Linked DNA regions of Arabidopsis thaliana. The protein of the gene in region 1 interacts with the protein of each later gene in a pairwise test. Each region holds a gene or a part of one and is shown on either strand. Other genes may lie near its edges. The genes, in order: WRKY9, AT3G11100, AGL21 and BBX26.

Region 1 (8,122 bases):
GGAGGTTCGAATAAACATGTTGAATTCATACATCCCTGGAATTGCATGATCAACAAACAATGCTAATCTATGAAACTTAAATCAAATCAAGGAACTCATACCGAAACGAAAAGAGATCAAACAAACGAAGTAATGTACCTCACTAGCTTGGAAGCCTAGAAAAGTGATTCAAACTCACAAGATAACTAACACAATGACAAAACCAAATCGACAAGTTATGGAAAGCAAACAGATGGAGAATCAATGTATAGAGATACCAAGAATAAAAACTGGTGAGACAAAGTCTCGCATCAAATCAAATACAGTTAATAAGATTACATAAAAGAAAATAAAAAAATAACAAAAGATGTGCAGACATGTTACAAGACAACCAAAAGGAACATGCTTCACAGAACAACTCACGCGACATGACAGTGAATCAATTATTAAACAAACAAAGGAGAAACCTTAGAATCTAATCTAATCCACATGGAACAAAGACCTTTGACACATCTCAGATCCATAGAAATTTATATAAAAATGTTAGCATAAATGTATAAGAAAGAACGAAATGCTCTCGATAACCCTAGAATTCAAAAACATAAGAATACACAGATGGATTCTGACAAGTTCAATTATACAATTCAACAAATTTTCAATGACTCATGAACCTAACCAGAAATCGGAAAAGTCATAGCTACACAAAATTCAGTTTTTCCAGCGGCGCACAAGTTCGAATTACATCAATATCTCGATAATCTAACACGGACCCACTAAAATCCGTAAGAAAAAAACACTAACCCAGATCGCAAATTAGACGAATAAGAGTAGAAACGAAGACAGAGAAGACGAACACGCAATAAAGACTTCACCTTTAGGGATTGAAATGAAAAAGATTAGGGTTTCAAGACACAGCGTAAGAAGACGAATAGGCTTGAATCGAGGGAGGGAGCGAGACCGAGAGAGGTAAGGTATTCAAAGGAAGAGAGGGAAGGAGGAAGACGAGTGGGACTGCGAGATTCGCGTGGAAGCGTCTCCACTGCTCCACCAAGCTCTGGTATCGGAGTTTCTCTTTCCTTCACGTCAAGTAAAACGTCCACGCGTCCTTACAATACGTAAGACTGACGCGCGTGCTTATTGTTTTAAAGGCCCTCTAAAAGTCCCTAATGGGCCTGGCCACGAATTAGACATATACTTATCCATAGTTAAAATTTGATATTGGACAGATCAATATATGGAGGATTTCAATTAAAGGTTGACTTAGTGACACAAAGAGATACAAAGAGACAATGGGAAATGCATTTGACCTTTTCTTAATTGTAATTATAAAATTTGAACGAGAGATATGGCTGCGGCGCCGCTTGCTCTCTTGTCCCACGTCTCCTCTGTCAAATGTTTTAGTTTTCCACTATATTACTATATGCTATATTTTTCTATATCTAAAATCAGCAAAAAGTTCTTTTTTGGTAAGATAAGTAAAACAAAACACATGCATATTCTTTTGACACATGCTTTCCCGTGTAAAGACGGATCATCATATTGTTGTGTTGAAATGTTAATCCAAAGTCCATAAGCTTGATTTGTTGTTGAAATGTTAATCTTAAGTCTATAAACTTTTTGGTACTCTAATAATATAGTAACTCCTCATATTGATAGTCATTCGATGATACTGCAACATTGTGTGTTTTGACTATAGATTTTATACAATTGTGAAACATTCATTATCCAATTTGATTTCTACGGATTAACCTCTTTTTTTTGTATCCGTAATCAACTCTGAATAAAATGGATACTTATAAAAAAAAAGTACTGTACGAAAAGTATATGTGGATAATCTTACATGATTTGCAAGTAACCTTATATTGTATGCTAATTCGATTTAAGATAACGATTTTATATAGGATTAGATCTACTAATGTAAATACTCTTAATAGATAGACAATTTCAAACGGTTGTCTCGGTAATAATATTAGTACAGAGCTGATAATTTTGTTGATAAAGTTTTTGGCAAGAAAGAAATTAAGTTAATAAAAGGACAGTTAGTATGAAAATAATAAAAATTAAAAGTCTTCTAGTTGACTATTTTTAGATCCGATCCCGAGGCAAGTATCTTGTTCTCGGTATTTTTGGTACGAATTATTAATTGCTAATTTGAATTTCACGTTAGTGATTATAATAAAAATAAATAAGATATCACATATAGACATCTTCTTAAAAGCACACTAACTAAAAGAAAAAAGAAAAAAAGAGACATGTCAAGTTTCTTTTATTTTTGTGTACATGTCAAGTTTGTAAACCATAGTTTATTGCTTAAATAAATCACATAACGCTTAAAAGAATCCAAAATCCGGACTTCACATATGTCACACATATTCTATCAACATAACCTGTATGTACATCGAAATCATAGAAAGAATATTTTAGGTTAGCTAGTAGCCTAGTACTAATGGGATAAATGAAATTAGTTATCCTTCTCTTAAAGATGAATCCTTGAGATCAAGAAATTTTGTGAGATTGTTCAACCAAACTAACAATAAAACTTATATTATTTGATACAATCTAAATATAGAATCAGTTAATTCTTTCTTTTTTCTTTCTCATATATATTTATGATCTCATAACACCAATTTGACTTTAAGAAGATATCTATTGAAATTTTCAAAACAACTTTAATAGGAAAATTCAAAATATATAGACAGCGCCATATTCTAGAATATTCTTACTCATTATGAATTTTTGAATGTTTTGATTTATAGACCTATCTATGATGTTGAATTGAGTAAATAAAAAGTTTAATGGTGCGTTTGATCTCACCCATCTTTTTCTTTATTCAGTATTCAATCTTTATAACTCTACCTTATTCGAAGAGATGAATTCATCTAGCTATAAACACATCAGTGACAAGTTTAAAAAAAATATCTACACGTTCGATGGTCTTCTGTATTTCACATGGTACCATCCATGTGAATGTGATGGGAAATTTCGCAGACCCTAATGCCGGCCATAAACTGGATTTACAAAACTAAACAATGTAATACAATTTTCAAAGAAACCGGATCTAATTATCTTATTGTCACTTAATAAACAAACTATATAAGAGAAGGGGAGGAATATATGTATACACTTTTTTATGACTACTAGGATGGTAACCAAAGTCATGATTCCATAGTAACTCCGGTTTAATTGCTTCAAAGGCCAAAACTAAGCTCTTTATTAAGTAACATGGATTAGTTTCTTCATAAAGATAAAACTAATTATTTAAACAAAGTCAAAGCTAGCTTTAGATGCGTACTAGAGTGAATAATACAAATAGTAAACGATATTCTGATCAGAAAATGGGATTTGACTTTAGCACTTCAAAATCCAAAGCTAAAAGACAAAAAAGAATAGAGGTTCGATTTGCATCTCCATTAATGGGCATCGATCTTTCTCTTAAGCTCGAGGCCGAGGAGAAAAAGAAAGAGATAGAAGGATCGAAACATAGCCGTGAGAACAAAGAAGACGAAGAACATGATGCTAGTGGTGATGAAGATGAACAAATGGTGAAAGAAGACGAAGATGATTCTTCTTCTTTAGGTTTAAGAACCCGAGAAGAAGAAAACGAACGTGAAGAGGTACCTACATGCGTATATATACATACATCAAAACATTTTATGTGCGAATATATGTTAACATCTATGGATGGCGATCAGCTCTTGCAGCTACAGATCCAGATGGAAAGTGTGAAAGAAGAGAATACTAGGTTGAGGAAGCTTGTCGAGCAGACTCTTGAAGATTATCGTCATCTTGAGATGAAATTCCCGGTTATCGATAAAACCAAGAAGATGGTGAGAAATTATTTCTTCATACACGTTATACATAGTGGTGACTGGTGATAATTAATATGAAACTTGATTGATGTTTTAACCTAGGATCTTGAAATGTTCCTTGGAGTACAAGGCAAACGATGTGTGGATATAACAAGTAAGGCTCGGAAAAGAGGAGCTGAGAGATCTCCGTCAATGGAAAGAGAAATAGGGCTTTCACTTTCTCTAGAGAAAAAACAGAAACAAGAAGAGAGCAAAGAAGCTGTTCAGTCTCATCACCAAAGATACAATAGTAGCAGCTTAGATATGAATATGCCACGTATCATTTCATCTTCTCAAGGTAATAGAAAGGCCAGGGTGTCCGTGAGGGCGAGATGTGAGACCGCAACAGTGAGTTTCTTTATATCATATCTTGGACTCAGTTTGGAGATTGGTAACATGATCATTTAATAAGAAAGATGTGTGTGTGTGTAGATGAATGATGGATGCCAATGGAGGAAGTACGGTCAGAAAACCGCGAAAGGGAATCCATGTCCTCGAGCTTATTACCGATGCACCGTGGCTCCAGGATGTCCCGTTAGAAAACAGGTAACTGCACACACCCTCAAATTCCGGGGTCTTACTATTTATTTATTCAAAGATAAGATTTTATGTTAGGGAACCATTTTGATCAATTTACTGATAACGTAGTATTTTATAGATCTTCCAACTCAAAACGAATTGGTAATGAGTTGATTCGTCTATGTACTTTATATATTACTTTATGTCCAATGTAGAATTCATAGCATGTCATAACCACATTTGAATGGAATGAAACTATGTATATATATATAGTTGATAATGAGATTTGTTACATTGTGAAGGTGCAAAGGTGTTTAGAAGACATGTCAATACTGATAACAACCTACGAAGGAACACATAACCATCCACTTCCGGTCGGAGCAACAGCCATGGCTTCCACTGCCTCTACTTCTCCATTCTTGTTACTCGATTCCAGTGACAACCTCTCTCATCCTTCCTATTACCAAACTCCTCAAGCCATAGACTCTTCTTTGATTACATACCCACAAAATAGCAGCTACAACAATCGAACCATAAGAAGCTTGAACTTTGATGGTCCATCTAGAGGAGATCACGTTTCATCTTCTCAAAACCGATTAAATTGGATGATGTAGAGTTTCCTATATCTCTATGCTTGTTCTTTGGTCCCATTATTTGTCATTATGGATTCTTTGCCTTTCTTCTTGTTCTCGTTTCTAACATTTATGTTTCGTATATACAACATCGAAGGTTTCGGATTGTTTTATTTCGTTCAATGTTGGCTTATGAAAAATAAAGATTGATTAATGCTAAGAAAAAATGGGTACCAAAACAACACACCAAAAGATCAAAAGATTAAAGATGCAAATCTCAACACGCTCTTCAATAGAATCTTTTTTTATACACATCGATCGCTTAGAAATTCTCCAAGACACTAATTGAACTAAGTTTATCTAATAGAACTTGTTAAGAAGGTTTTTTAGTTAGGAGCCAGGACCAAGAACCCCTACATTCGTTATATTATGTCTTGTTTCAACATCCCGCGCAGCAATAAAGATCGTTGGTGTTACGAAAGAATCACATTTCTACAAACTTCCCAACATTTGATGAGCTTTTTTTTACCTCCTCCAGCTTCTTTAGGATAATTTACAGGTAACTAAGGGAAACCAGATGATTTCCTAAGACTTCTACTTCCTATGGAAGCCGCCACTTTGCATCGTATTGAATGGCATCATCACCTGGTACAAATCGAGGAAACCAAAGTCATTGATATTGGGAAGCTATTATTCTTCTGCTCTATTTGCTCTTGATAGACATTTCTACAAACCAAAACATTGAAAAACTGGTCTTAAGATACTCAGCTAGTTAGAAGCACAATAATTCTATATTTTGAGCACTTGAACCAGAGATATGGGGTTTGAACTACGGTAGTGTCTGAGGTAAAACAAGCAAATGGGTGATGTGGACATTTTGATATCTAAAACAATGGACTGTTAATGCAAAAGTGAGCAGCCTATTAACTTACTAAAGTAGTATTACTCACCGAGAGATCATCATTGATTGTGACTGGCAATGGTGGCATCTTGTTCATCAATCCAGGCATATTATTTATCCTGCCAAATCAAGACAACGTCTGGTCACTAAGCTCCACAAAACTTATACACAAAATGTTTAAAGTATCAACTTACTCATTTTGGATGGTGATAAGGTTGTTCCTTGCCTGACGAAAGAGATCTAGGTTATCCCCTGCCTGTTTGCAATTATCATTACGGAGCGGTTTTAGCAAGAACACATTTGCATTCCTTTAAACAAGGTAATCTAGAACTTACCTTATATGAGGAGAGATTAGCTCTAATTTGACTAAAAGCTCGTACATTCTGTTCTATAAGATTTGTTGCATAGCTACTTAAATCTGAAACAGAACCACGAAAGAATCAGTAAGAAAAGAAAAGAGACTAAAGATTATTGTGACTTCAACAAAACTTCATATGAAAGAGAGCTTAAAGGATCATCTTTACAAGGTAATAGGATCAGAGAGCGGACTTAAATAGAATTTCACCATTTAAACATACAATAGTCATTATACTCCTTTACTAGATGTATGAAATAAATAATCTCAAGAATGCACCTCTAGAGAAGGACAATGCAGTTAAGAAACCAATTTCAGTATCTATGGGTAAAGGCTTCTTCCAAGACTAAACTACTTTAGAGACGTAGTTATGTTAGCATCGTCCCAAGAAGCTAAAAGTCTAGCTGAAATACACTAATCCCCTATGAACTTATTTATATAACAAAATACATACTTAAACGACATTTGCACCATAATACATACATCAAAACGTATTGCCTCCTTTTGAAAACAAAATATGATGTTAATGTGTGCATGTCAATGAAAAAAAAGACCTGGAGTTAGCAAATTCAGGTGGAAATCTCTCAGATAAAGATAGATGTTAACCTTCAGACGTAATTTGTTTACTGGTGCTTGTAGATGGCCCTGAGAAAGGATATGAAGCCATGTTATGAGGCAAAACAGAGGGAATGCTTGACTTAGACGACGATTCCACCTGCTTGCCCTGAAGAAATATAAATCTTTTAGTACAAAAACCTAAATTAATCAAAAGATATTCAATCTCAATCCTAGCATCATCTTTCAATCGAACTTACAAAAAAGTCACTCATCAAAATTGAACAAATGGCAAGAATTTCCAATATACCTTGCTAGAACTTGCTCTTCTTCCACAGTTTAATTCTTCTGATTTTCTTCTCTTTCTCTATGCAAAACAAAGTCAGTACATCAACAGACGAAGACAAAAGGTAAAAGTAAGAAATGATTCAGTATATAAGAGAAGAGAAGATTTTGTTCAAAACTCAAAGACTGTTATGCTCACTATTCTCATCTCAAGAACTCAATATTGATACAACTCAGGCATCAATAAGACCAAAAAGTCCATCCTAAGGCAAAACCATTTCATTCTGTGTACTGTAGTTTAAGAAGCTATGTATGAAATCAGAACATGTAGAAACTGTTCCCTGTGTATCATTTTTCTTTGCTATACATATATCATTCATGGCATAAGCGTAGAACTACATGACTGAAAAATGGTCACAAGAAAGCTACAAAAACCGTCAGAACAAGGCAGATATGTGAAGAGAGATACTTACCCTCAGCCACCTACACCGCAAAGCAATATCTCGAATACTTTTATCAGGTAAAGTGTTTCCAATTTGAATATACATATCAATACTTGGCATATCCTTATATCTACAAAAAACACAGAATCAGATCATATCAAATTCCACAGAACAAAAAACTATCTTCATATCCTCATTAATGTTAAGAAATCACAAAACAAGAAAGACTCACTTTTCAAGACCAGCATCCAATATGTATTGTTCTTCATTTGACCATTCACTAACCATGGAAGTATCAAGCTTTAGACCAGAACCCGAATCGGAACCATTCGAAGAATTCCCGGTTTGAAGAAAACCAGGAGAACCAACATTGATCATATTCATATTCATCCCCAAGTACGGACTCATTGGAGTCATCTCCGAAGAAGTGTTAGATTGGAAATTAATAGCGTGACGACTCATCATAGAACTCAAAGAATCGAACCCAGAATTTGATTGAGTAGCCATCCACATAATCGAACACAAACCCAAATAAAAAGATTAAAACTTTAACAATTAGAAATCAAACCCAAAACTCTCCTTTGATCAGATATGAAAAAAGGATCAAACTTTGAGAAGGTGAATCATCTTACGCCATGGATAAAGCTTGGAACTTTATAAACCCT
Region 2 (7,997 bases), on another chromosome or scaffold:
TAGATCGCTGTCTCATCTTTCGTCTCTTCCTCTTTAATCTCCTCATACGCTTCTTCTTCCACTGTTACAACCCCAAAAACACCATCATTCCGTATTACCAACTATTATTCCGTATTAGAGAAAATTCATAATAGAAAACATATACAAGCCCATTTCTCACCTTAGCCCTCATGGTGAATTCACAGAAGATAAACTCTTCACTCCTCTGATTCTATGCAAATTTCAGGAAAATGAGCGGCCGCCAATTCAGAAAGATTTTGTTGCTTCCACTCATTTTGCTTCTTTATATGACAGCAAAACCCTAGACACTCGTTTCCTCTTTTTCCAAATATTGGGCCGATCGATACTAATTTTATGCCCAATAAAGCCCATACCGATGACTTTCTAAATTGTAACATGTTTTGTGCCTTTCTAAATTGTAACGAATACTTTTATTTTATTGAAATAATGGATTTAGAAAAAAATAGCATGTTATTTATACAGAAATATAGCACAGAATTTTACATGTAACTGTATCAAATATGAACATATCATTGTTTTATCATTTAGTTATTTACCTGAATTAATAAGTCCATTTACCCTTATAAACATCTACACAAAAATGTCTATCATCGTATGTTTAAAATACAGATGAAGTGATTATAAAAACTTCACAATCAATGATAAAGACAGAATATGAAAATTAAATCCTTTTAGAAAAAACCATAACCATTCGTGTGTGTGTAAACATCATCCTCCATCCATGTCCATGCAATACACAAGTATATGTATAAATCTTTACCCACACAATTACAAAAAAAAAAAACAAATTCATATCTTAATCACTATCACTCTAGCTGTCTCATTAGCTTGACGAGTCGACACGGATGGAGACTCGGCAGAGCGGACAACTCGACTCGGTTTTAAGCCACCGATCCACACATTCGCAGTGGTAACAATGGCTACACGGAGGAAGCACTTTCATCTTCTCTCCTTCTTCGAAACCACCTAGACATATACAACACTCCTTCTCCTCCTCCTCCTCCGCCCTTTCTCTCCGGCAAAGCACCACCGGCAAGCTCCGAATCTCCGCCGGATCAAGCCCTCCGCTACGGCAACGCGTGAGTCGATCGGGAGAGGACGCGTGGAGATTGATAGAATCCCGGGGGAGGCAGTTCCGGTGGATGTAGAGAGTGAGTAGTGCGAAGAAGAGCACGACGGAGAATAAAGCTAAGGCGAAGAAGAGTGTCCGGCCATGAATCTGGAAGTTCCGGTCGTCGTATTGATTCTCGTGCCAGTACAAAAGCATCGAGGCTTGTGGAGACGGTGAAGATGACGTCATTTTCCGGTTGGCGATGGATGGTTACTTACTTAATTCTGGCCGTTGATATATAGTATGTATAAAAACAGCGTCGTGATGTATATATATAGTATACTAGTGCTAATCTCAGTCACGTGATTGTATTTCCTTAAATAAAATAACAGAAAGAGAATATTAATTTGAGTTAAACAGCTTCCACAAGTAGTACAACTGTCTGTACAAGCAAGACTCAAGTTTGAAGGAAAGTGGGATTTTTTTTTGTTACTTTATATATTGTTTTAATTTGTCTTAATTAGTTTAGGAACAATAATAAAGACTATATTAGGCAACATGCACGTACGTTTGTGTGTTTTCGAGATCCCAATGGTAGCAACTGGCAAGTAGCAACATACTAAAATAAATAGCATTGTTTAATTATGCGTACAAACGAAATTGGCTACATTTTTAGTTGCTTCACCACCTATACTTGATCATGGATTAGCTCGATTACTTGGCTGCAGGATGTGATATTTGATATTATTGTAAAGTGATTTAAGAGTAACAATAATCGATTGCGTCTAAGATTCAGTTGACAAACTAAATTGTTTTACGTTCCAACTCACATCACTTTGATAACCTGTAAATCATGATTTATCTTTTCACATCTGCGTTTTCATAAGAAAGTTTGAAATGTATAAAAGATGCATGTAAACCAGTAAATGATGATAATGACATATTTAGTTTAGAAAACTATATGTAGTGATGTTAATATGGGCTAACCCACCCCAATTAAACCCATCCCATTTAAACCCACTCCATTTAACTTTAAACTCATATAAATCCATTTATTTTTGAAACCCATTTAACCCTACCCATTTAAATTTAGTAAATCCATGTGAACCCATTTAAACCAATTAAGTGAGATATTGCCTTTTATTAATTAATTCATAAACTTAATAGATAAATAACAACAGTCCATAAACATTAGCTAAATCTGAAATATTTATAATTTACTAAAATATAGATTTCAATAACATATAATGATAATAATATTTTCAAATTTGGCAAAAAATATTTTTTTTTGTGATTTTGGCGGGAAAACTTGATTTTACGGTTTTACGGGAAAATGTCGTTTACGGTTTTGGCGGAAATACGTGATTTTACGGTTTTGGCGGAAAACACTTTTTGTGATTTTGGCGGGAAAACGTGATTTTACGGTTTTGGCGGGAAAACGTGATTTTACGATTTTGGCGGGAAAACGTGATTTTACGATTTTGGCGGGTAAACGTGATTTTACGGGTTTGGCGAAAATACGTGATTTTCAATTTTGGTGGGAAAACGTCATTTTACAGTTTTGGCGGGAAAACGTGATTTTACGATTTTGGCGGAAAAACGTCGGTTTACGATTTTGGTGGGAAAATGTGATTTTCGATTTTGGTAAAAAACGTGATTTTGGTGGGAAAACGTAATTTTATGGGTTTTAGCGGAAAAACGTGATTTTACGTTTTGTTTTAAATATATTTAGTATTTTGCTCTTTATTTTAGTTATAATTAAGTTATCTACTTTTTAATAAAAATAACTAATATAAAATAAAACATAAATGGGTACCCATTTGTTTGTGGGTAAACCCATTTATTAAATAGGTTTAATTGGGGTAACCCATTTAACCCCATTTGATATTTTTCTCTAAATGGGTTTAAATGGGTTATTTTTTTTTGCACATACCCATTTAACAAATGGCTATTCAATGCCCAAGTTAACATCACTAACTATATGCTTATTTCTACTAGCTCTTCACCAAGACCATCGTGGAAACTTTGATCGACAGAAAAAACACCTCAGCTCTTTTTTCAAATATTTCAGCGACATTTTAGTAGTTATGAGGAAACAGTAGTAGTTAGGCATGGACTAACATATCAATTGGCGAGACAGCAAAAAGACAATTAGACAAGACACGGCACGAAACATACATTATAGACATAGAGTCTACGACCTAACACGTTTGCGATGCTCTCTCTTATTACCTAACAATTCGCCTGCTTACCTATTTCCTTAATTACATCCCACCATTTTTCACTTCCAAACTTCAATTTGTTACGGCGTAACGTAAATGATCTTGTTACTGGAATACACAAAACGTATAAATTTTCTTAATATTCTGATAACATTTCTTTCTTTCCAATTATGACTTTTAAAAACCACTACCAAAACTAATACAACCTCATATTTACTGTCTTTCCTAGAATACACAAAAATACACGTTATAAGATTTCCTATAATGACATGAACTGATGAGATTCTAGCCCTAATCGTTATTATCAATCAGTCTATGAGTTTAATAATGTAATCTTATCATCATTACCCGTAGAAACGCATTAAAAGAAGCTTGAAATTGACTATAACTAGTAGTAGCCTAGTTAGTAGGACTCTCAATTTATGATTAAACCGGTTTTCGATAACCGTTTTCGATAACCGGTTTTTCAGAAATGAGTGTGATTGATTCGGTTAGCAGAGGAAAAAGAGAGAGGTAGGAGAAAGAAGATAATCGCCGTTGCTGACGTCACCGCCGGTAATCAAAAATCTCTCCTTTAACCGTAATTTCTCTTTTAACTTTACCAAAAATCCGATCCAACAGAAATTCTTATCCTAAGCCTCTTTCTCCACCGCGCACGTTAGCCTCCTCTCTTTCCCACTCCGAGATGGAGACGACGCCGGAGACTCAGTCGAAGACTCACCGTCTACCGGCGGGAAGAGAGGATTGGTGGAGCGAAGACGCTACGGCGACATTGATCGAAGCTTGGGGAGATCGTTACGTCAATCTCAACCGGGGAAATCTCCGGCAAAACGATTGGAAAGAAGTCGCCGACGCCGTCAATTCAAGCCACGGGAATGGCCGGCCAAAGACCGATGTACAGTGCAAAAACCGGATCGATACGTTGAAGAAGAAGTACAAAACTGAAAAGGCGAAACCTTTATCGAATTGGTGCTTCTTTGATAGACTCGATTTCTTAATCGGTCCGGTTATGAAGAAATCGTCCGGTGCTGTTGTTAAATCGGCGTTGATGAACCCTAATTTGAATCCTACTGGATCTAAATCAACTGGTAGCTCTCTCGATGACGATGATGATGATGATGATGACGACGAAGAAGATGATGATGATGCGGGTGATTGGGGATTTGTGGTGAGGAAGCATCGTAAAGTTGAAGATGTAGATTCGAGTGAAGGATCAGCCTTTAGGGAGCTAGCGAGATCGATTCTGAAGTTAGGGGAAGCGTTTGAGAGAATCGAGGGGAAGAAGCAACAGATGATGATTGAATTGGAGAAACAGAGAATGGAAGTTGCAAAGGAGCTTGAGTTACAACGAATGAATATGTTGATGGAGATGCAATTGGAGCTTGAGAAATCTAAACTTGGGAAACGAAGAGCTGCTTCAGGTAAAGTTTTCATTTTTATGTGTGTTTTGTTGTGATTGATGAGTTTACTGAAACTTCAGTTGTGCTTTGTTTGTTGTATAGGTAAGAAGTTGTAGGATTGTAGATTGTGGAGGAGTTACTGATGTGAAGCAAGGAGCAATGGTTGGATCTAAAGCTCATACGATTTGGAGAAGATGTTATTATTATTGATCTTTAGGTTTTCTTAAGTTATAGCGCGATGCTTTTTTTCTTCTTCTTCTTTTTCATTCTCTTTTTTAGCATTGTAGAGTTACATTGGTAGTAGCAATGCGAATTACCAAAAGAACTCTCATAGTATCTGACATATCAAGATGTACTTTTGTGAAGTATCAATGTATGATGGTTTGTGTATCAGTGTCTGCAGTTCCAAATTGTGCTCATCTCTCTTTCTGTGATCTGCAATTACTCTTTTGCTTAGGCAGGTTTCAGGAATGTGTACAGACTTAACAAGATGCGTAGAACGGTTCTGAGGAGAACTCTTATCAGAGTCATTCATAATTCAGTTTGGAATTTGATCAAACCCACCAAGCTATTGATTTGGATGTTTGCTTATGTGACTTTGCTGCACTCTGGAATCTCCAGGACAAGACTCTTGTGGCCTGAGGGAGACGAGTTGACACATGAGGCTGTATTATTGGAGCCTCAAAAAAGAACATCATAGAAGCATATATATCAATGTTTCATGTTTGGTAGAATTTCGGGATGACATAAGCATGTGCTCTCCTATTCATACCTGACTTACAAAGAAGCTCTTCATCTAAAACACCTCACTTTACTCACCTTGGCCTACCACTTGGTCCAAAACTGGTAAGGACTCTGACCTTCCAAGGCTCATCTTGTACCTGAGTTATCTCATCGCATGTGATGGTTACTTTTGAAGTTAAAACCCTTTTTCATACATATGATGAAGTAAGCATCTGATTATGCATACTGGAATTCATACATTAGGGACAGACTTTAGATTGTCAAAGATAACTTGTAAAGCAAAGTGCAAATACAGCTGATAAAGAGATATATGATAGAGAGATAAGGCCTATACAAAAGGAGGCTGTCCAAGATCATACAAGTAAGCATCAAGATTAGTAGACCCATCAAGCAACATCAAGTCACTATAAGGTACAAGATCAAGAAAAGCAGCAAGCTCAGGAGAATCATCCAAAGGGGACACTTGGCTGTTGTTGACCCCAGAATGGGCAAGTAGTCGAGTGCGAGCAACAGCTAGATCGTGTTGAAGCTCGAGCATCTTCTTCTGCAGAGACGCTATGGCTCCAATGCAACCGTAAACAGGATCCTTGAGACGAACCTCAGCTTCATAAGCCAAGGAGTTAACGGTTTCTTGTCTCTGTTCTTCAGGAACTTCACCGAGAAGCTTACTGACGTTGCTGGCTCCAAAGACTTTATGGACTTTGGCGAAAGTTATCAAGTCACTTGAGCGGAAATAAGGAGCGAAAATGCAAGTGGGTGTGCATCGTCTCTTCAAGAGCTTGCAGGCTGCACAAGATGAGCTTGATCGTGGCTCATGCCCTCTCATCTCAAACTTTTTGTTTGTTTGTTTTGATTTTTTGGTGGTAAATGTTAGGCTCTCGTTTTTTCTAAGTTTTATCTCGTGCTTCCTTTATATATTGATAAGAGTCTTTTAACTTTTTGTGAAGAAGAGTGTTTTTGAAAGTAATAGAGAGAAGGAAACAAATGGGACAAGGCATGGGCCTATTCATCATTTGTGTTGGCTTTGAGCTTTTCCTTGCTAATTACATGATTGGTCGTGAGTTCGAGTCCATAAATCATAATCATATATTGAAAAATCAAAGGTACTATAGAGATAGAGAGAGTTAAAGTAACAACACATCAGCTAATTTTCTCTTTTATAGAAGAAGAAACAAGAGAAGCAAGACTTTTGGATTAGTGGAAACAAGTCAATCAAGCAAAATACAAAATAGCTTTCACTTTGCTCCAAATTGAAGAGGAAATTTCTTACAAAGTGGGCACCAATATAGAACTGAGCTTATATCACTTTTTGTGGTTCTTATTGTAGATTATACATAGCTTAAGCAAAAGAAAGTCAAATAATAAAATAAATAAAATCACAGGTAGCATATAAAAATTGGAGTGTGGAAATGGAGAAGACAAGACATTTGACAAGAAAAGTGAGAGAATGAGAAGCCCACCACCATCACCACCGTCCCCTTCACTATCCATTTTCTCTTCTTTCTTTGGCTTCCTCTTCTACTCATCATTCATTTTGGTTGTGAATTTATACCAATAACAAGAAAAACTTAACTCAAAACTTAAAATTTCTTTTGTTAAATCAAATATTCATAAATCTTAAGGACCTTAAATCTTTTAACCTTTATAATGAGTACACAAAACGATAATATTGTTATCTCTTAACCTTTGTGAATGAGTATAAATATACAAACAAGTAATGGTTTAAAGAAATTGCTAGTAGCAACTTAAAAAGAATTGTCATTTACTTAATTAAATCTTCTTATCTTGTCATTTCATAAATTAAATCGTAATATGTAATGCTTTCCATTCCTTTTCCACTATGGATTATAATCCCATAGGCTTACCTAAACTTTTCTAGTAGTTCACAGAGCTTAGCATATAATCACTCCCTTTCCTTAAGCCATTACCAAAAACCCAAAAACTCATCATCAAAACACACTTCTCCATTCTCGTATAAACTACTTGAAAATGTCGAGAATGAAACAGCTTGCTGCTGCAAAATAGCAGATAAATGTCTAATAAAGAACCAGACACAACTGACTTCAAATATATCCATGTATAAGGTTTAGTTTATCAAAATACAGTAAAAATGGCTTTTTGATCAAATATTCCCCAATTCTATAATTGCTCTGTATTTCTGCGTCTTAATTGATACGAACAAATAGACATACATTTTTAGATACGAGAGTGCAATGGGGAAAGAAATGATAACAACAAACTCGCGGGAAAAAACAACTTTACATGTACATCTAAAGAGCGAAAAACAGAGTTGTTCAATTACAAAGTTGGCTAAAAACAGAGTAGAAGAGAAAAACACAAGCTAAACCGGAAACAATCTGGATTTGAAAATGGCTAAAAGAGTGGTTGGTTAACGTCAAGGAGTTCGTCCGGTTACTTTGACTTTCCTCTTCCAGATTATTCAGATAGGTTATAAGCCTATAACAACGAAAATAAGTTGTTAAAACAGAAATAAAATTCATTCTGATGGAAAGCTACCAAACTCGTTCAAAAGTCGGAACATTACCTCTCTAGTGGGTG
Region 3 (10,031 bases), on another chromosome or scaffold:
GTGAGCTATGATGACATTTTCAACTAGTGTTACCGTTGATCTCGACTGCTTTGTTTATTAAATGCACATTATTGACTATGGTTTATTATATATTAAAGCTAACAACAATTACCTATTGATACGTTGGTTCAGTGTGTGTGACGCTTGGTCTGATTTTTTTTTTTTTTTTTTTAGTAAAAAAATTCTAGGAATTTTAATAAAGGAATTTCAAAACTTCTATAAATTTTTCGTGCTCATATTCTTCATTTTCAGTGACCGCTTTTTTTCTATTAAACCGTAAGAAATTTAATTAAAATATAATATCAAAATCCTATATCCAAAAACCAAAATTAAATCCTAAGCTTGTATTGTTAACTTTAATTAGCGTTTTAAACGCACAAAGTTATCAAGACTGCAACGATATTGGAGGAGAAAACATATACGGCAAAGGACCACTGACATATACCCAATGACTTTTGCTGTGGTTTTTTTCTTCTTCTCTCGCGTATGCGTCTCCTTCTCGTAAGTATGTTTGTCGAAAAATAAGAAAGCTAGTTTCTTATAACTCCAATAAAAGAACTATCATTTTTAGCAATTTATAAAACCAATACACCATAATTTCTCTTTATTATTTTTAGTTATCTTTGGTATAGTATCGAATCTTAAATTAATTACTATCAGAGGTATACACTAAAAATGAAATAATGGCCACAACTTTGGAACATTTAGTACAATTTCCACCAGTCTTCAAGTTCCAAGGCCATCTTTTAAACTCGACCTTTGCAGTTACATACTAAAATTATTATTATCTTCGGAAATCTGAGAACATGTTTAAATTATAAACTTTATGGACCCAATATGTGGGATTTAAGTTTTAAAACATCAAAAGGGACACCACCTTATCTCCTTTTCTTGGTCTGATCAATAATCTAAACAAGGTTTATTATCATTCACACTACCACTCTGATTACCCTCTCACGTGAATTCTATAGCACCAACCAGAAAAAAAAAAACTATACTTTATAGAACCAATATCTATTATACATTTTCACTTAACATATTTTTTTGTCAAATGGTAGACGACTACTTATGAAGAATAATGGAGACTAATTATGAAGAATAATGAAACATTACGGTATTCAAATGGGAATATAATCTCTGTTCTTGACTAAACTAATTGGACATAAACGCATGATGAAAAGTTAAATCTAAAATATAGCATTAATTATATACTTAACATGCTTTGTTGGTGTAAAGTTCCAAGAATCACCTGAAAAACTATATTCTATATTTATAACAATAGGTGTCTGTAATATAAATCTGCTACTTGAACAACAGATAGTCAGTAGTATGGGTGTATTATTTAAACTCTATAGTAAGCAATTTAATTTGGTAAAGAAATAGGTCATCTGTGAAACCTATTACTCTTTGGTAACTAGCTCTTATGGATTACAGATTCTATACATGTGTTAGATATTTGGTTTAGTCATTACAAAACATTTCTTAAGAAATAGGTCTTATATATATACACAGCAAAGATAAACACACACAATTACACAAAACAAATATTGTTAAAGGGGTTTTAAGAACCAAAATAAACAAAGATTGTGATAATTCTAGATTGTTTATGTTTTAGACTTGAAAAATATGGAAAACGTAGACAATAGGCTTGAAACGTAAAAGAAAGAGTGGTATAAACCCGTCGAACTAAAGATAATAATGATTATAATTGGTAAAATCGAAATGATTCGCTGATGATTGACACCTGGCGTGAATGAGACTGAATCTTTTATCTTAAGAGGACGATAATTGGGGATTTGGTCACTTGGAAGTTGGAAGCAACTTTAAGATTCTTTGTTAATAGAAAAAGAGCCAAATCTGAATTTGAGTTTGAGATTCGAGATGTGATTGGTTCGAAGCAGTCCAGCCCACGTGGTCTTAATAGATCTTTAATTATCATGTTATCTATCTGGGGCCCACCTAAATCTTATACATCAACGGTATAAAATCGAACTTGGTTATTAGGGTTTGAGCTTGGTTTAGTTCGGTTTAAAGGACATTTGCTACTTTTAAATCAAATTCAATTGATGGATACATTCGCGCTAGGGGTGGTGATTTATGGCAAGTTTGAGGGTTGGTCAAAGTTAAAGTTTAGACATTCAAAGAAACTAAAATAAACACACAAAAATAGTTAGTAATGAAGGATCAGGTGTACGGATTCTGCGGTGGAGCGTGCGAAGACTTCCATCAATTGGTGTTCTCAGGAGCTGTTCCTGCTTCTCCCACGTGTGCCTGTCACAAATGCATATTACATTTTAGATTGTATATTTGCAATATGCATAAGCTTGAAATATAAGTTACGGTTTATATATATATGGCCTTCTGAGTGAAAATATTCTATATATAAGTGAAAATTTTGTATAGCTCATTTCATTATGATATTGAACGCGAGTTGCTTTGAGTAGAAATCAAGCATTAAGCCATCGAAAGTAACAGACGTTATATAGTTATTTGATATTAAATTTCTTGCCATATTTGGAAACTTACGACAAAACAATTAATATGATGAATCTCCGCAACTCCAAGTCCCTGTCTGACACGTGTACTTGATATCGTTTAAAATCATTTATTAATTGACACAAAAATAATTTATTCATTTGTATTTCTACCGAAAGCCATATGGACTAATATATGTTGTACTAGATTAATACTGTATGTTTTTGTTCAATCCATTCTCTTACTTTTTTGGGTAAATATCTTTTGGACAGATCTAATTAATATAGTATAAGTTTTCCTATGACCATAATAAAGGGCCAGAATATTTTTAATTTTCTTTTAATCACCTCTAAAAGATACTAATTAAATTAAGTAAAGCAGCATATAAAGCAAGAGGGTTTTGTCAGAGAAACACAGTCCTGTGATGCGCCCATTCACTATTTTCACATGACATTTGAAATAAGACTTAAGAATAAATTATAAATAATGTACGGACATGTTAAAAAGGAAATATTATTGATAATGGAAATTTACCTAACTCACACTAAGTTTAATATTATTTCACTCCTTTTTATCTAAACAATTCCATTAAGTTTCCACTATCTCCCGTAATAAACAAACTATAAAAAAGAATCAGTGATTAAAGTTGTATATATGACACACATTTAAGCTATATCTATATATTCTCTTAACCTAGGAACTTTATAAGAACTTCTCTCTATTTCATTGGTTTGATAAAATCATACACACAAATACTAATTTTGGACTAGAAATTTAGTACTTTTCTATGTATTAAATCTACCCAAAAATGTCTCAAACTGAGAGGTGAGTGTGTATGTGTGTGTGTGCATATGCATATATATACTTAGTTTATTCCTCGAATAGATTGTTGACTCTTGGCTCAACCTTCCTCTCTCTCTATTTCTACCTTTCTCTTTCTCCTTATTCGTTCATCTTCATATTCCCTTCCCTTTTGGGCTTGGTAAGATCTACAAAAAAAAAAACCCTAAAAAAGAGAAGAACCAGAGGAGATTCAATTAGAGGATAAAATTGATGGGAAGAGGGAAGATTGTGATCCAAAGGATCGATGATTCAACGAGTAGACAAGTCACTTTCTCCAAACGAAGAAAGGGCCTTATCAAGAAAGCCAAAGAGCTAGCTATTCTCTGTGATGCCGAGGTCGGTCTCATCATCTTCTCTAGCACCGGAAAGCTCTATGACTTTGCAAGCTCCAGGTTCTTCTTTTAAAATTATTCATTCTGAAATCTTTATATCTTCTTGATTTTGTGGATGTACATCTACGGAGATGTTGTGTACCACTGTATGCATATAATTTTATGCTACGGTTTTGTTTATTAGAAGGCTTGGTGATATTCACTGAGATATATGTAGCTGTGGGATCTATTCAAATATAGTGGAATTTTTTCGCATCTGGCGGTCCGTAGAACATGTTACATTAATTTTCCCGTATGTACAATAAGATGTGTCTTGTATAGCCGACAAACAGTTTTCTTACAACAAAGAAAGATTAAAAATGAGGTAGAAGTTTTAAAGAAGAGTAATATTTTTGAAGCTGAAAAAATAATTTGAAGTAGTTTCTTTGCTTCATATTTGGGTGATTATATGTACCCATCATCAGTATGTTTTGAAGTACTTTCCTAACATATGTTTATGTGTATGGACATTGACTTATAACTAACTAAGGCTCATTGTTTGCATTTTCCAAATTTAGATATGTTTCAGAAATAGATGAGAAAACAAGTGTGAATGCCCAAACATCACTATTGGAAAGCTAAAAAAGAATTATAATTGGAGACCACGAGTTAGAAGATTGGTATGTAGAGGACTTAATTTCTCAAATCCAATAAACTGGAAGCTGATTTAGTTTAACCCACTAACAAAATGATCTATTTATACTCGTAAACATAAACATGTTTTTGATATTTATATATAATCATATATATTATTACTAAACGATCAGATTACTCTGTATATTTAACTTTATATCTGCAAAATCGTTATAATTGTCTATTTTCTGAGTAAGTTATTCTTTGTTAAAAGTTTGATTAATATAAAAAAAATATAGAGATAAAAAACTAATTATTAGAAAACATATATAAACATGTAATTCTAAATCATATAATATTTTGATTATATATTTTGAAAATTTATATAATTTCATATTTATCAATTAAAACAACCAAATAAAAGAGTATGGTAATGCGAATTTTTGTTTTTCCCTATTTTCCTTGAGGAATTTTATATTAGCATCAACCTTAAGCATTATTAATTCTTCACGTTTGTCTTTTGATAACATTTCTCATGTATCATAGGGTTTACGAACCTCTTGGTAAATGAAATTACTTAGCATATTTAGTCAAGTTTATATACCATTCTTAAAACTAACTAACACCATGTTATTGTTTGCTTGGATTTAAAATAAAGTGTGCCATGCTAATGCATTACATTTATGTCATTTTGTTTATAGCTTAGAACTGGATTCCTTTAAAGTTCTTGCTTATCTACACCCTAGAAATAACATTTAAGCATTTGTTTTTGTTACTTATTGAAAAAAGAAACTAACATCTACTTACTTTATATATAGTTTATCTAGTTTGTGTAACAAATTCGTATTACTGCTGAGTTCAAGATTATATACATTATGTGAAATGTATGTATGTGTACATATATAAGCGTGTGTAAATAATGTTGCCAATGCAGGAAAGTCTATATTGCACAAATTTCTAGGCTATGAGTTTTTTCTTTACGTATGAAAGCTTTTTAATGGAGTACTTGGAAAAACTTCACGATCGAAAATTAATATCTTTTACGTAATTTACTCTAAGAGATGATATGATATGAGTGAATTATATACCATGAACAAGGTATACTAATATTAAATATTTTGAATAGCATGAAGTCGGTTATTGATAGATACAACAAGAGCAAGATCGAGCAACAACAACTATTGAACCCCGCATCAGAAGTCAAGGTATACATATAGATATAGCGACAACTCTAAAGATATGTGATTATATATTGATTGATGCTTTAGCATGATGTTTGATTTTTGAAATGAGATTTTGGTTTACTGAGCTGTTCAAAGTTTGATGAGTTATTTGTGTTGTGTGTTACAGTTTTGGCAGAGAGAAGCTGCTGTTCTAAGACAAGAACTGCATGCTTTGCAAGAAAATCATCGGTATCGCCTTGAACTTTTATAACATTTTGTATTAAGAATTAGTCTTTGATCAAAATATAGAAGGCATGTAAAGGAAATGAAGAAACTTGTAGTTATGGATTGCGGTATGTTTGCTATGAAGCAGGCAAATGATGGGAGAACAGCTAAATGGTTTAAGTGTTAACGAGCTAAACAGTCTTGAGAATCAAATTGAGATAAGTTTGCGTGGAATTCGTATGAGAAAGGTACATAAATACATATACTCTACCTTCTATTATATGCTTTGGAGTGTATTACTCAAAAGATTGACTATAGAACACAACGGAAATCAATAGAACGATTGCTTTTCCGGATTCACAGGAACAACTGTTGACTCAAGAAATCCAAGAACTAAGCCAAAAGGTCACTATGATGAGATATATATATACACACACTGACACACACAAATATCCCCTACCAAAAGTTACAATTCTAATTTTGGGATTTTTGTTGATCGTGGTGCAGAGGAATCTTATTCATCAGGAAAACCTCGATTTATCTAGGAAAGTACAACGGATTCATCAAGAAAATGTGGAGCTCTACAAGAAGGTAACAAATCATGTTTTACAAAAACTCCATTTTCTTTGGAGTAAGAGCTTCGAAGTGATATGGCTTCGACTTTCAGGCTTATATGGCAAACACAAACGGGTTTACACACCGTGAAGTAGCTGTTGCGGATGATGAATCACACACTCAGATTCGGCTGCAACTAAGCCAGCCTGAACATTCCGATTATGACACTCCACCAAGAGCAAACGAATAACAGAGAGGTAAACTTTTTTAATTGATCTTGATGTTTCACAAACATGCATGCACCATTTAGGCATTTTATATATTTTATGTAACTCGTTAAAAACTTTCACAGATTGAAGTTGGAAGATACCATGATGTTGAAGAACACTCCAAAGGCCTTGGTTTGAATAAGGTTCTTGAACTGGAAACCTCTATACACCAAGCCACGTACGATAAGCAGCATGGTTCTTCTAACATAGTCATATTTTCAATCCTAAATATAATTAAAGCATATATAATTAAAATCCGGTGTTGTTATACTCATCTTGAGTATTAATATTGTACTTGTTTATAACCATAGATTCGTCAATTAATAGAGAAAAATCATATGAATTATTATCCTCAAAACTCTCTCAAATATCAATATTCTTAGATCAATAATTTGTTTAATATATATAACCATGCACTTGGTAATTCTAAAATGTTAAATAAACATTTTCTGTTAAGTTTTTTGTTTTGTTGGTTTTATTTTGTAAATTCACCATAATTCTGTTAATCTTATTCCCCCAAACTAACCGGTTTGGAAACTATATAAATTAAATTGATGTGTGATAACTGAATCGGTTATCGTTGACTGCACTGACCAGAAACCAATAAAGGTTCTGTCTTAAAGGGAAACAAATCATCGTCGTCACCAAATCATCACAATTCACAAAGGTTGGTGTAGACAGGGACCTGAGAGATAACGACAAAGAAACAACAAATATAAAATAAAAATCAGAAGAAAATATAAATAAAAAAAGAGGGAAAAAATTCGAAAATTTGCTGCAACCACCAAAAGCTCAGCCAAAAGCAGAGGCCACAATTCTCTCAAACAAGATAAACCCAATTTTGTTATTTTTGTTCTCTCTTCTCTCTCGTTCATGTTTCAAATCTGTTTCTAGGGTTTCACAAACCAGAGATAGAGAGAGGTTTAGCGAAAAATGGCGATGGCCATGGCTCTTCGAAGGCTTTCTTCTTCAATTGACAAACCCATTCGTCCTCTTATTCGATCCACTTCATGTTACATGGTAACAACCCTAAAGTTTCTTCCTTTTATCTCCGAATTTTATAATCGGATTGGAAATTTTCGATTTTTTTTTTTTTTTTTTCTGATTTCTGTTTGTTCCGTTGCAGTCTTCTTTGCCCAGTGAAGCTGTTGATGAGAAGGAAAGATCTCGTGTCACTGTGAGTTTAAGCGCCTTTTTGTATCTCTTGTTTGTTTATAGTTTTCCTTGTGGTTGAAGCAATGGTTTTGATTGTTGAAGTTCTATGTCTGTTTCAAATTGATGTATGGAGTTCTATTTTTGGTGTGACTGAATCTAATGAAACTTATGTCTTTGTAAACGTTCGTTTCAGTGGCCAAAACAGCTTAACGCACCTTTAGAGGAGGTTGATCCTGAGATTGCTGACATTATTGAGCATGAGAAAGCTAGACAATGGAAGGTTAGTTTGTCTCTGAGATTACTATCTCTTAAATCTTGTTCCTTGATTGATTATTATAAGTTAGGCTGATGTTTGTAACGCTTGTGTTATTATAGGGACTTGAACTTATTCCATCTGAGAACTTCACATCTGTGTCGGTGATGCAAGCTGTTGGGTCTGTCATGACTAACAAATACAGTGAAGGCTATCCTGGTGCCAGATACTATGGAGGAAATGAGTATGTTCAGGAATTTTCAATCTGACACATTTAGTTTCAGGACATGATTGCTTGACCAATCTCTGTAATAAGAATTGAAATCTCAAGTACCTTTTGCTTTGTAGGTATATAGACATGGCAGAAACCTTATGCCAGAAGCGCGCTCTTGAAGCTTTCCGGTTAGATCCTGAAAAGTGGGGAGGTAAATTACTACTTTCATGTATATGAGAAACAAGAAATCTGATTAGTCCTTTGATGGCTTATTTGACTGGATCTTACAGTGAATGTTCAACCTTTGTCTGGATCTCCTGCCAACTTCCATGTGTACACTGCATTGTTAAAGCCTCATGAAAGAATCATGGCACTTGATCTTCCTCATGGTGGTCATCTTTCTCATGGTTATCAGGTGCCTTCAAGTTAACTTTGTATGTCATTTCGGAACTCTCTGACTCTGATGAATAACAGTTTCTTTCTTCTTATTTCTCATCAGACTGACACCAAGAAGATATCAGCTGTGTCTATCTTCTTTGAAACAATGCCCTATAGATTGGACGAGAGCACTGGCTACATCGACTACGATCAGGTTCTTAACTCTTCTATTAAGCAATCATAGTAACTTATAACTAACCCGCTTCATAACAATACATAAGTCTTTAATTTTGATTTGCAGATGGAGAAAAGTGCTACTCTTTTCAGGCCAAAATTGATTGTTGCTGGTGCAAGTGCTTATGCTAGATTGTATGACTATGCCCGCATCAGAAAGGTAATTTCAGTCTCATATCCAACTACAGAACAGATTATTGTAATCAGTAGTGAGTTTTGATTCGAACTCTTTTCCCAGGTCTGTAACAAGCAAAAAGCTGTAATGCTAGCAGATATGGCACACATCAGTGGTTTGGTTGCTGCTAATGTAATCCCTTCACCGTTCGACTATGCTGATGTTGTAACCACCACAACTCACAAGTCACTTCGTGGACCCCGTGGAGCCATGATTTTCTTCAGAAAGGGTGTTAAGGAAATTAACAAGCAAGGGAAAGAGGTAAAAAAGAAAAAGAAGCAAAATTTGAACCAAAATGTTTTAGATTTATGTATAATCTTTCACGTCATTCATTTGTTGTCTTGAAAGGTTTTGTATGATTTTGAAGACAAGATCAACCAAGCTGTCTTCCCTGGTCTTCAAGGTGGTCCACACAACCACACTATCACAGGACTAGCTGTTGCTTTGAAACAGGTACGGTGAGGCACGGAATGGAACTAACGTTGCTTATTGGATTTGCGGTTTCTGTAACCTTCAAATGGTTTGAAAATGCAGGCAACTACTTCAGAGTACAAAGCATACCAAGAACAAGTCCTGAGTAACAGTGCAAAGTTTGCTCAGGTACTAATCCCGTGAAGGAAAGAAAAACACATATGGCGTAGTATCTACTTTGATTATATCTCTACATTGTTGTTTCGTGCAGACTCTAATGGAGAGAGGATATGAACTTGTTTCTGGTGGAACTGACAACCATCTGGTTCTAGTGAATCTAAAGCCCAAGGTCACTTGATCTTTTTTTGTATATAATCTTCTTTTATATTTCTTAGTTAAAACTCATTTTTTATTCGATTTTGTTTGCAGGGAATTGATGGATCTAGAGTTGAGAAAGTGTTGGAAGCTGTTCACATTGCATCCAACAAAAACACTGTTCCTGGAGATGTTTCTGCCATGGTTCCTGGTGGAATCAGAATGGGTAAAAATCACATTTAACCATTTTTCTTTTTGGTATTCGAATGGAGTTCTTCTTGATATCCTCTGCCATTGTTATTTTCAGGTACTCCTGCTCTCACTTCCAGAGGCTTTGTTGAGGAAGACTTTGCCAAAGTAGCTGAATACTTCGACAAAGCTGTGACAATAGCTCTCAAAGTCAAATCTGAAGCTCAAGGTTT
Region 4 (6,633 bases), 3.3 Mb from region 1:
TCCACCGACCAATCACCCTACATCTAAATATTTCTTTACAAAATCAACGCAATTGCATAACCAAAAATAACACTTAAAGATGCCACAGTTTTAAAACGATTCCACCAATCTTTCTTTTCAATTCTAGTAACATAAAGATTGTACAGAGACGATTTGCCCCAAACAAACAAAAAGATTGAACAAAGATGAATGAGAGAAATCAAGAAACTGGATAATGAGAATACATGAAAATTCCCAAACAACGGGTTCAATAACGTGACACCAAAAACAGTAATCGAGTGTTCAAATCCAGGATCAGAATATCAGTGATTCATTTATAGTAACCTCGAATGTGCTGGGCCAACATGTAGTCAAATGGTTGTGGATACAGACGTCGAATCTTGCAGATCACGTAATCTTGTTTCCACGTACTTGCAAACCTATACTCTTCCATCGCCCAGATTCGTCTATCTCTTACTCTTCTCTTCTCCTTTTCCAAGAACTTAAAAACCGATTTCGGTTTCCGATCAGTTTCACAGAACTTATAAACCTTCTTTAACCCTAGAATCTTCCCGGTCGTCACCGACTTGATCACTCTATCACGACCGATGATTCTCCAACAACCGTATTCACATCCATCGGTTAAACCTGAATTCACACTCCGATTAACGAAGAAGTATCGTCCGAAGTGTAGGATTATAGGATCTCTAGTAACGAAAAGCGTCCACGGATTCTTGCAGTACACGTCTTCGCTTCGGAGGAAGTGGCGAGGCCAAACGTTTACGTTATCGATCATCATCTTCAAATAATTTGCGACGATTGCTTCTTCGATTGATTGTTCACGTCTTGACTTCATCATCTTCGTTCTTCAGTGAAACTAAGATCTCTTAGAAGAAGAAGATTTAAGGAAAATGCTGATGATGATTGATGAAGGGAGAGAAACAAGAAACGGAAGATGTAAAATATGAAGATGATAGTGTTTCTTGGGAAAGAAGGTACTCTATATATAGAGAGGCGCTTCGTCATCTGTTGGTACCGTTTATATCAAATTAGTGAATTGACCGATTTGTCCTTTGTTTTTTTCTCTTCGATATATACACTTAACGAAATTATTCTATAATCTTTGCTTATTGAAATAATTAGACCGATAGTTGTCAATATTTGTATATTTTACTTTGGTTTAAAGATGTAATATTAAGTTCTTAAATAAGAACTAAATTAGATCTATTTAACAAAACGTGAAGAATTTGCATTTTTATTTCGTTCTTTCCTTTTACAAAATGACTATGTTTTCTCTTATTGAAGAAAATAGTCAGAAATAAAATATTAATAAAAATTATTTATTATACAAGCATATTTTCTTGCAGAACATCATGTAACTTTTTTTAACACAAAAAAGGTCATGTAAATTTTATTTGTACTATTTTTTGTCGTCATACTAATCAAAATCTTCTACTCTGCTTACTAATTGTGAGATATTCACGTAAAGTACAACAACAACATCAAAAATCAAGATAATTAGACGATTTTATTGAGAAAATCACATCCCCGGAAATATTGGAGTTGGTTCTTGACTTTCTTAAATAAAATTAAAATCGCAAAGTGAAATTTAATTTTATTGTTGAAAAAAAAATATTATTTAATTCCTATAAACCCCTTAAGCATCGATTGTTAATCAAATTAATTTGTGTTCTTAACATTTTAGCAAAATTGTTTTATGTTTTTTCGGTAATTGTGGTTTCTAGATAGTTTCTAGTTAAATGATGAGATATACATACATCAAGATATGATATCTTCCATCCTCGAACAAATTGGAGTTAGTTTTGACATTTTATTTTCTTCTAACATATTAAATCCAACTGATTGTTTTTTTTTTCTTCTTCTTTTCTTTTTCAAATCCAGAAGCAATTATAACACCAAGAATTAAACCCCTAACGAAAACTCTAAGAAACACACATAAATAAAAAGCTAAAGAAGACGATTTTCTATTCACCTACCAAACCAAGAAAAATCATCAACATCATCTAGATAATCATAATTAATATCTTGTTGAGGTAGTTCTGTTGGGGGCGTAACTGGAATCCCCTCTGCCGCAGGAGGATGAACCGGTGGGAAATTAAACTGATAGCCGCCAATGAGAAAACGGCGAGAAGGTCTCTTGCAGATTACGCAAAGCTTACACCTCGAATGCGGCGGCACCGCGTCCTCGTGACTGTGAATCATCCGGTCGCAACTATCGCATAGAATCTGGTTGTGTGTAGGACAATAAACAACAGCATTTGAATTCGAAGCTACGCATAACTCACATCTCATTGCAAACATCCATCTCTCGCAATTGTTATCCCCGTGGCAGCTCCTCTCAAACATCTCTGCTCTTCTTTGGTGACCACCCACATGCTGCTGCTGATGATTATTGTTATTGTTATGGTGAACCACATGAGGCATATGTGCATGATCATGGTGTTGATTATTCATGTTAGCGAAGACGACTTGAGTTTGATGGCCATTAGTGGCACAATTGTAATGGTGCGAATAACATGATTGACAAAGAACCATCCCGTCCTCATAACAGAAAAGTATAGACGGATACATCGAGCAGTTATCGCAAAGTTGGTAACGTACGTGTTCTGCATGTATGTTATTATGATGGCGAAGGTTGTCACATGTAAGGCAGAAGTTAAGAGCTTCTGTAACACAATGGATCACGGCTGTTACATGTCTACATGTGTGACAAACTTGAGCCATGTTTCCTGAAAAATATTCATATAAGATTATAACAAAATTATCAACTTCGCAAAACGGAAGAGAAGAAACACGAATTTAAAATAAAAAAAAACATTCAACTTACACGAACCAAGGAGAGAAGGAAGCCAAAGTTTTGTTTTCTCTGTGAAACAATCTGTGAAGCTCGTATTTAGATGGAGTTTCTAATTTGTAGATTTTTTTTTAACAAACTGATTATGTAGAAGGATATATTTTACTAAGTTATATACTTATCTTTAACTATAAATTATTCTCAAAATTCAACATTACATTTATTAATTGAGAATAAGAAAGAAAAAAGATAATTATATGATATTTGAAAAATTGATCCTTGTTTCTCATTTTTTTGTTAAGAATAAAGTTTTTTTTTTTCCTTTTATCGGATCTTAAAGATCAGTAAGAATAATGTCGTTTCTTAAATTTTGATGTAGAAATCTTTTTTTTTTGAAGAAAAAAATATCCCAACTTTATCAACATAACCAAACGGGGGACAAACAGGTAAATTAATGAGTTTTTTTTTTTTGTATAACTATTTTGCTTTAGAGTTTAGATTGTTAGCTTAGTACTTACATACTTAAGTTTCTGATCAGTCTTTGTTATGATTTTCACATGTAGGTAGGAAGCTGCGCTTTTGTTCTTTTTAATGTGGAAATGCAGCCTTAACAATGGATGGTATATGAATTTGAAGCTGCTCTTTTGTGTCTCTTTTTTGATGCGGATTAGCATGCTTTTGTGTAAAAAACAACTTTGCTAAGAGTTACTAACTATTCAAGTGTTTGTATGGTTCTGTAATATGGTTTTTTGATACAATGCTAGCTTGAACTTGATGTCATGCTTAGGCCTGGGTACGAATTTCTTTTTAGCATTTAAAAACGGGCAATTCTTGTATTCAGCATCTGTGATTTCTCATTATTTTGTCGTGTAAAGTTACTAAACTAGTTTAATTTAGAATTTATAGAAAAAAAGAAGTGGCTCTCATGACAAGTAGTCTAAATTCAGTAGAACATAAGAGTTATTTCATCACAGTACTAAGAGGAAGAAGAGAAGTTGCTCTGCAATTCCTTGATGCCTTTGGAATCAAGAAAAGAAGTTTTGCCCTTGAGAAAATCAGAGTACCAATGAGCAGAGAGTCTAGGAGATCTCTTGCGATGTGGATCACTGAAATTTACAGAGTACAATCCATAACCATAATCGTACCGCCCTATAAGCTCGAATAAATCCATAAATGACCATACAAAATAGCCTCTAGTGTCTGATCCATTCCTACACGTAGCAATGTCCTTTTCCTTAATTACACGAACAAGATAAGAGAAGAAAAGATGCAATAAAAAAACTTTACTTACCTTATGGATTTGAGCACACCACCAATGTAAGCATTCATGTATTCCACCCTATGTGTATCCTTGTGTTGCGTCATCGGTGTACCTGTTTGTATATGACATTTTAAGTCCAAATCAAAAACATGAGGGAGAGACGAATAAATTAATCATAGAAGAGATTGACCATTCTCAAGAATGTAGACAGGAGGATTGTCATAGCTCTGCTTTATATACTCTAGGACAGCTTCCATAGTCCACGGAGCAACAGGATACTTGTCCAAACAAAAACAAAACAAACAATGAAAGATAGATTAGTAGCACTTATTTGTTTAAAGACTTATAATGTCAAGGAATATAAGGTGTTTTGTATCTGAATTTGGTAGCCTTAAAACTCTTACCTCTATAACTGAAAAATTCCCAAGGTCTTCTAACCAGTAAAACGAAGAAAAAATGAGTAGTAACAAATTATAAAGATAAAAGAGGTTTTTTTTTTGTTATACAAAAGAATGAGTCTGATTCATACAAGTCACATATGCGCCCATGTCTGAGTAGAAGTCCGGGTTTCCAGAAATAGAAGGTTTGAATTTGATGTTTGTGACAGAAGCCGCAAACTAATGATTGATTCCTATGAAGTCAGATGAGCCTTTAACTTGTTCTGATTCTTCCTCTGAGAAAACTGGCAGTCTTGATCCAATGGTTCTTTTCATTGTATCTGGATAGTCTCCAAATATAAGAGGTCCAAGGAACCTGAGTTTTAAAGAGCAGATTTTCTTTCTTTTCAGCTTAAGATCTTGCACATGTTGCCCAATTTGAAAAACCTTTTAGAACTGTTTGTGCCTGACTCACCAACCGAAATAGAAATCTTTGGCTCTTTGAGTTGCAATGGCATCATCCTTGGAGCTTGTAGAAGGAGTCAACCCCATTAAATATAAGCCAAAGCCTATGGAACCACCCTGCTTATCCTGCACATTGTATATAGTATGTTGCTTCTTATACATTCAAAAGAGGGTTATGTATAAGCAAGTATACCTTGTACTTTTGCTTATATAGTCTTGAAGCAGAGGCGTGCGCAAGAAGTAAGTTATGGCCTACAATATATGTTTCAGTAGAAGAGTTCCCTAACAAGCAGTTTTTGCCCGGTAAAGAACAACGACCAGGCGGTGTATCCCCATCGTTGTAACCTCCAATAGTAAATACATTAGCCTCATTGATAGTGGTCCAGAATTTGACATAGTTCCCAAACTCTCTGAAACAAACATCTACATAAGCAGTGAAGTCTTTGCTACAATGCCAAATAACACCAAATTTAGTTTCACATAATACTGTCCTAGAAAATCTGTAAAAGAGATTTAATTAATGTTGTTTTTTCTTAGCCTACATCATCATATTGTTGACCCATCCTCCATATTCATCCTCAAGATACTGAGGATGATCGTAGTGATACAGTGTAACATGTGGTTCAATCCCATGGGTTATTAATTCGCTGATGAGGTTCTTGTAGAACTGTAGACCCTTTTGGTTAACAGAGCCTCTTCCATCTAATGAGATAAGAGCTAATTATAAAGTTGATCCCTTCAAGTGAAACAAAACCGGCATAAATGTTTAAGAAGGCTTACTAGGTATTAGCCTAGACCAAGATATAGAGAATCTGAAGGCATCTAAGTTAGTGTCTACCATCAGCTTCACATCTTCCTACAAAGTCACAATGAAGTCAGGCTTGATGAATAAACTATATAATGTAGTAGTAGTCACAAGGAGAGAGTAAAGCAGAAAAGAGAAAGAACCTTATACTTGTGATACCCATCACATGTTACATCTCCGTTACCAATGTTACCTGAAAAGTTAGAAACGAAAAAATTGATCAGAAGCATAAATAATTCAAAGGCAACAACTAATCTCTGTTTCTAAATATATCTGTTCAAATACTGATGCTAATAACAGTTTATGTTAAAATGAAAGCTTACGAGAGTAACAAAGAGTGTCCCACACGCTAGGTTTCCTTCCATCTTCCGCAGCAGCTCCTTCCCACTTGCAGAGATCAAACATTTGGTTCAAAAATTCCAAAAAAAAAAAAAGCTTAGGAATTGATTCCAAACCTGATAAGCAGAAGTGCCAGCTCCGAAGAGGAATCCCTCGGGGAAATCAGATCTGCTGAAAACGTCGCTGCATCTCCCGGGGAAAGCAAAAGATAGAAAAATGGTAAACAGAGCAAAAAACTGTTCCATTTCTAATGCTCTTTCTCTTGTACTGCTACTAGAGATAATATTTGTGTGACGAAGAAACAAAGTATATGGTCCACTGTATTTATTTAAAGTGTGTAACACGTGTTGAAATAAATAACTCTAGCGTTTTTACAAAAAAAAAGCCTTTAGTTTTGAGTTTTTCATACATTATTGGGATTTTTTTGCACTGTTTTCAGTCCATTTTGAAATAAGAAGCAATTCGGTTATCAATATTTGATTGTAAAATAAATGAAAACAAATAATATTCGAATGAATTTATTACGCTTCTCATTATGACAACGGATTCATCAGAATATATTATTGCAATTCATTACTAGGAGTAAGGAGAG

Evidence for each region.
Region 2: the proteins of WRKY9 (region 1) and AT3G11100 interact in a two-hybrid assay, tested with the Arabidopsis thaliana proteins (one large-scale study listed by BioGRID).
Region 3: the proteins of WRKY9 (region 1) and AGL21 interact in a two-hybrid assay, tested with the Arabidopsis thaliana proteins (one large-scale study listed by BioGRID).
Region 4: the proteins of WRKY9 (region 1) and BBX26 interact in a two-hybrid assay, tested with the Arabidopsis thaliana proteins (one large-scale study listed by BioGRID).

What each region holds. Positions count from the first base shown.
Region 1 is NC_003070.9:25,540,656-25,548,777, forward strand, and holds WRKY9 (WRKY DNA-binding protein 9), read left to right. Parts: upstream 1-3,293; 5' UTR 3,294-3,314; coding exon 3,315-3,593; intron 3,594-3,671; coding exon 3,672-3,806; intron 3,807-3,890; coding exon 3,891-4,175; intron 4,176-4,259; coding exon 4,260-4,373; intron 4,374-4,648; coding exon 4,649-4,960; 3' UTR 4,961-5,136; downstream 5,137-8,122. Other genes in the region: AT1G68160 (ZZ-type zinc finger protein, putative (DUF3755)), read right to left, coding at 5,513-5,563, 5,869-5,938, 6,014-6,075, 6,155-6,237, 6,781-6,898, 7,040-7,096, 7,488-7,587, 7,690-7,970. UniProt on the Arabidopsis thaliana protein: Transcription factor. Interacts specifically with the W box (5'-(T)TGAC[CT]-3'), a frequently occurring elicitor-responsive cis-acting element.
Region 2 is NC_003074.8:3,473,303-3,481,299, reverse strand, and holds AT3G11100 (sequence-specific DNA binding transcription factor), read left to right. Parts: upstream 1-3,399; 5' UTR 3,400-3,979; coding exon 3,980-4,715; intron 4,716-4,796; coding exon 4,797-4,810; 3' UTR 4,811-5,113; downstream 5,114-7,997. Other genes in the region: AT3G11120 (Ribosomal protein L41 family), read right to left, coding at 1-61, 161-172; AT3G11110 (RING/U-box superfamily protein), read right to left, coding at 845-1,321; LBD21 (LOB domain-containing protein 21), read right to left, coding at 5,767-6,264; RLP35 (receptor like protein 35), read right to left, coding at 7,988-7,997.
Region 3 is NC_003075.7:17,832,119-17,842,149, reverse strand, and holds AGL21 (AGAMOUS-like 21), read left to right. Parts: upstream 1-3,180; 5' UTR 3,181-3,528; coding exon 3,529-3,710; intron 3,711-4,565; exon of another isoform or gene 4,566-5,388; coding exon 5,389-5,467; intron 5,468-5,612; coding exon 5,613-5,674; intron 5,675-5,798; coding exon 5,799-5,898; intron 5,899-5,988; coding exon of another isoform or gene 5,989-6,013; coding exon 6,014-6,055; intron 6,056-6,157; coding exon 6,158-6,241; intron 6,242-6,317; coding exon 6,318-6,455; 3' UTR 6,456-6,462; intron 6,463-6,557; 3' UTR 6,558-6,933; downstream 6,934-10,031. Other genes in the region: SHM1 (serine transhydroxymethyltransferase 1), read left to right, coding at 7,408-7,494, 7,601-7,651, 7,823-7,909, 8,005-8,126, 8,231-8,307, 8,387-8,511, 8,596-8,688, 8,776-8,868 and 6 more. UniProt on the Arabidopsis thaliana protein: Probable transcription factor.
Region 4 is NC_003070.9:22,215,109-22,221,741, forward strand, and holds BBX26 (B-box zinc finger family protein), read right to left. Parts: upstream 2,725-6,633; coding exon 1,969-2,724; downstream 1-1,968. Other genes in the region: AT1G60240 (NAC (No Apical Meristem) domain transcriptional regulator superfamily protein), read right to left, coding at 311-838.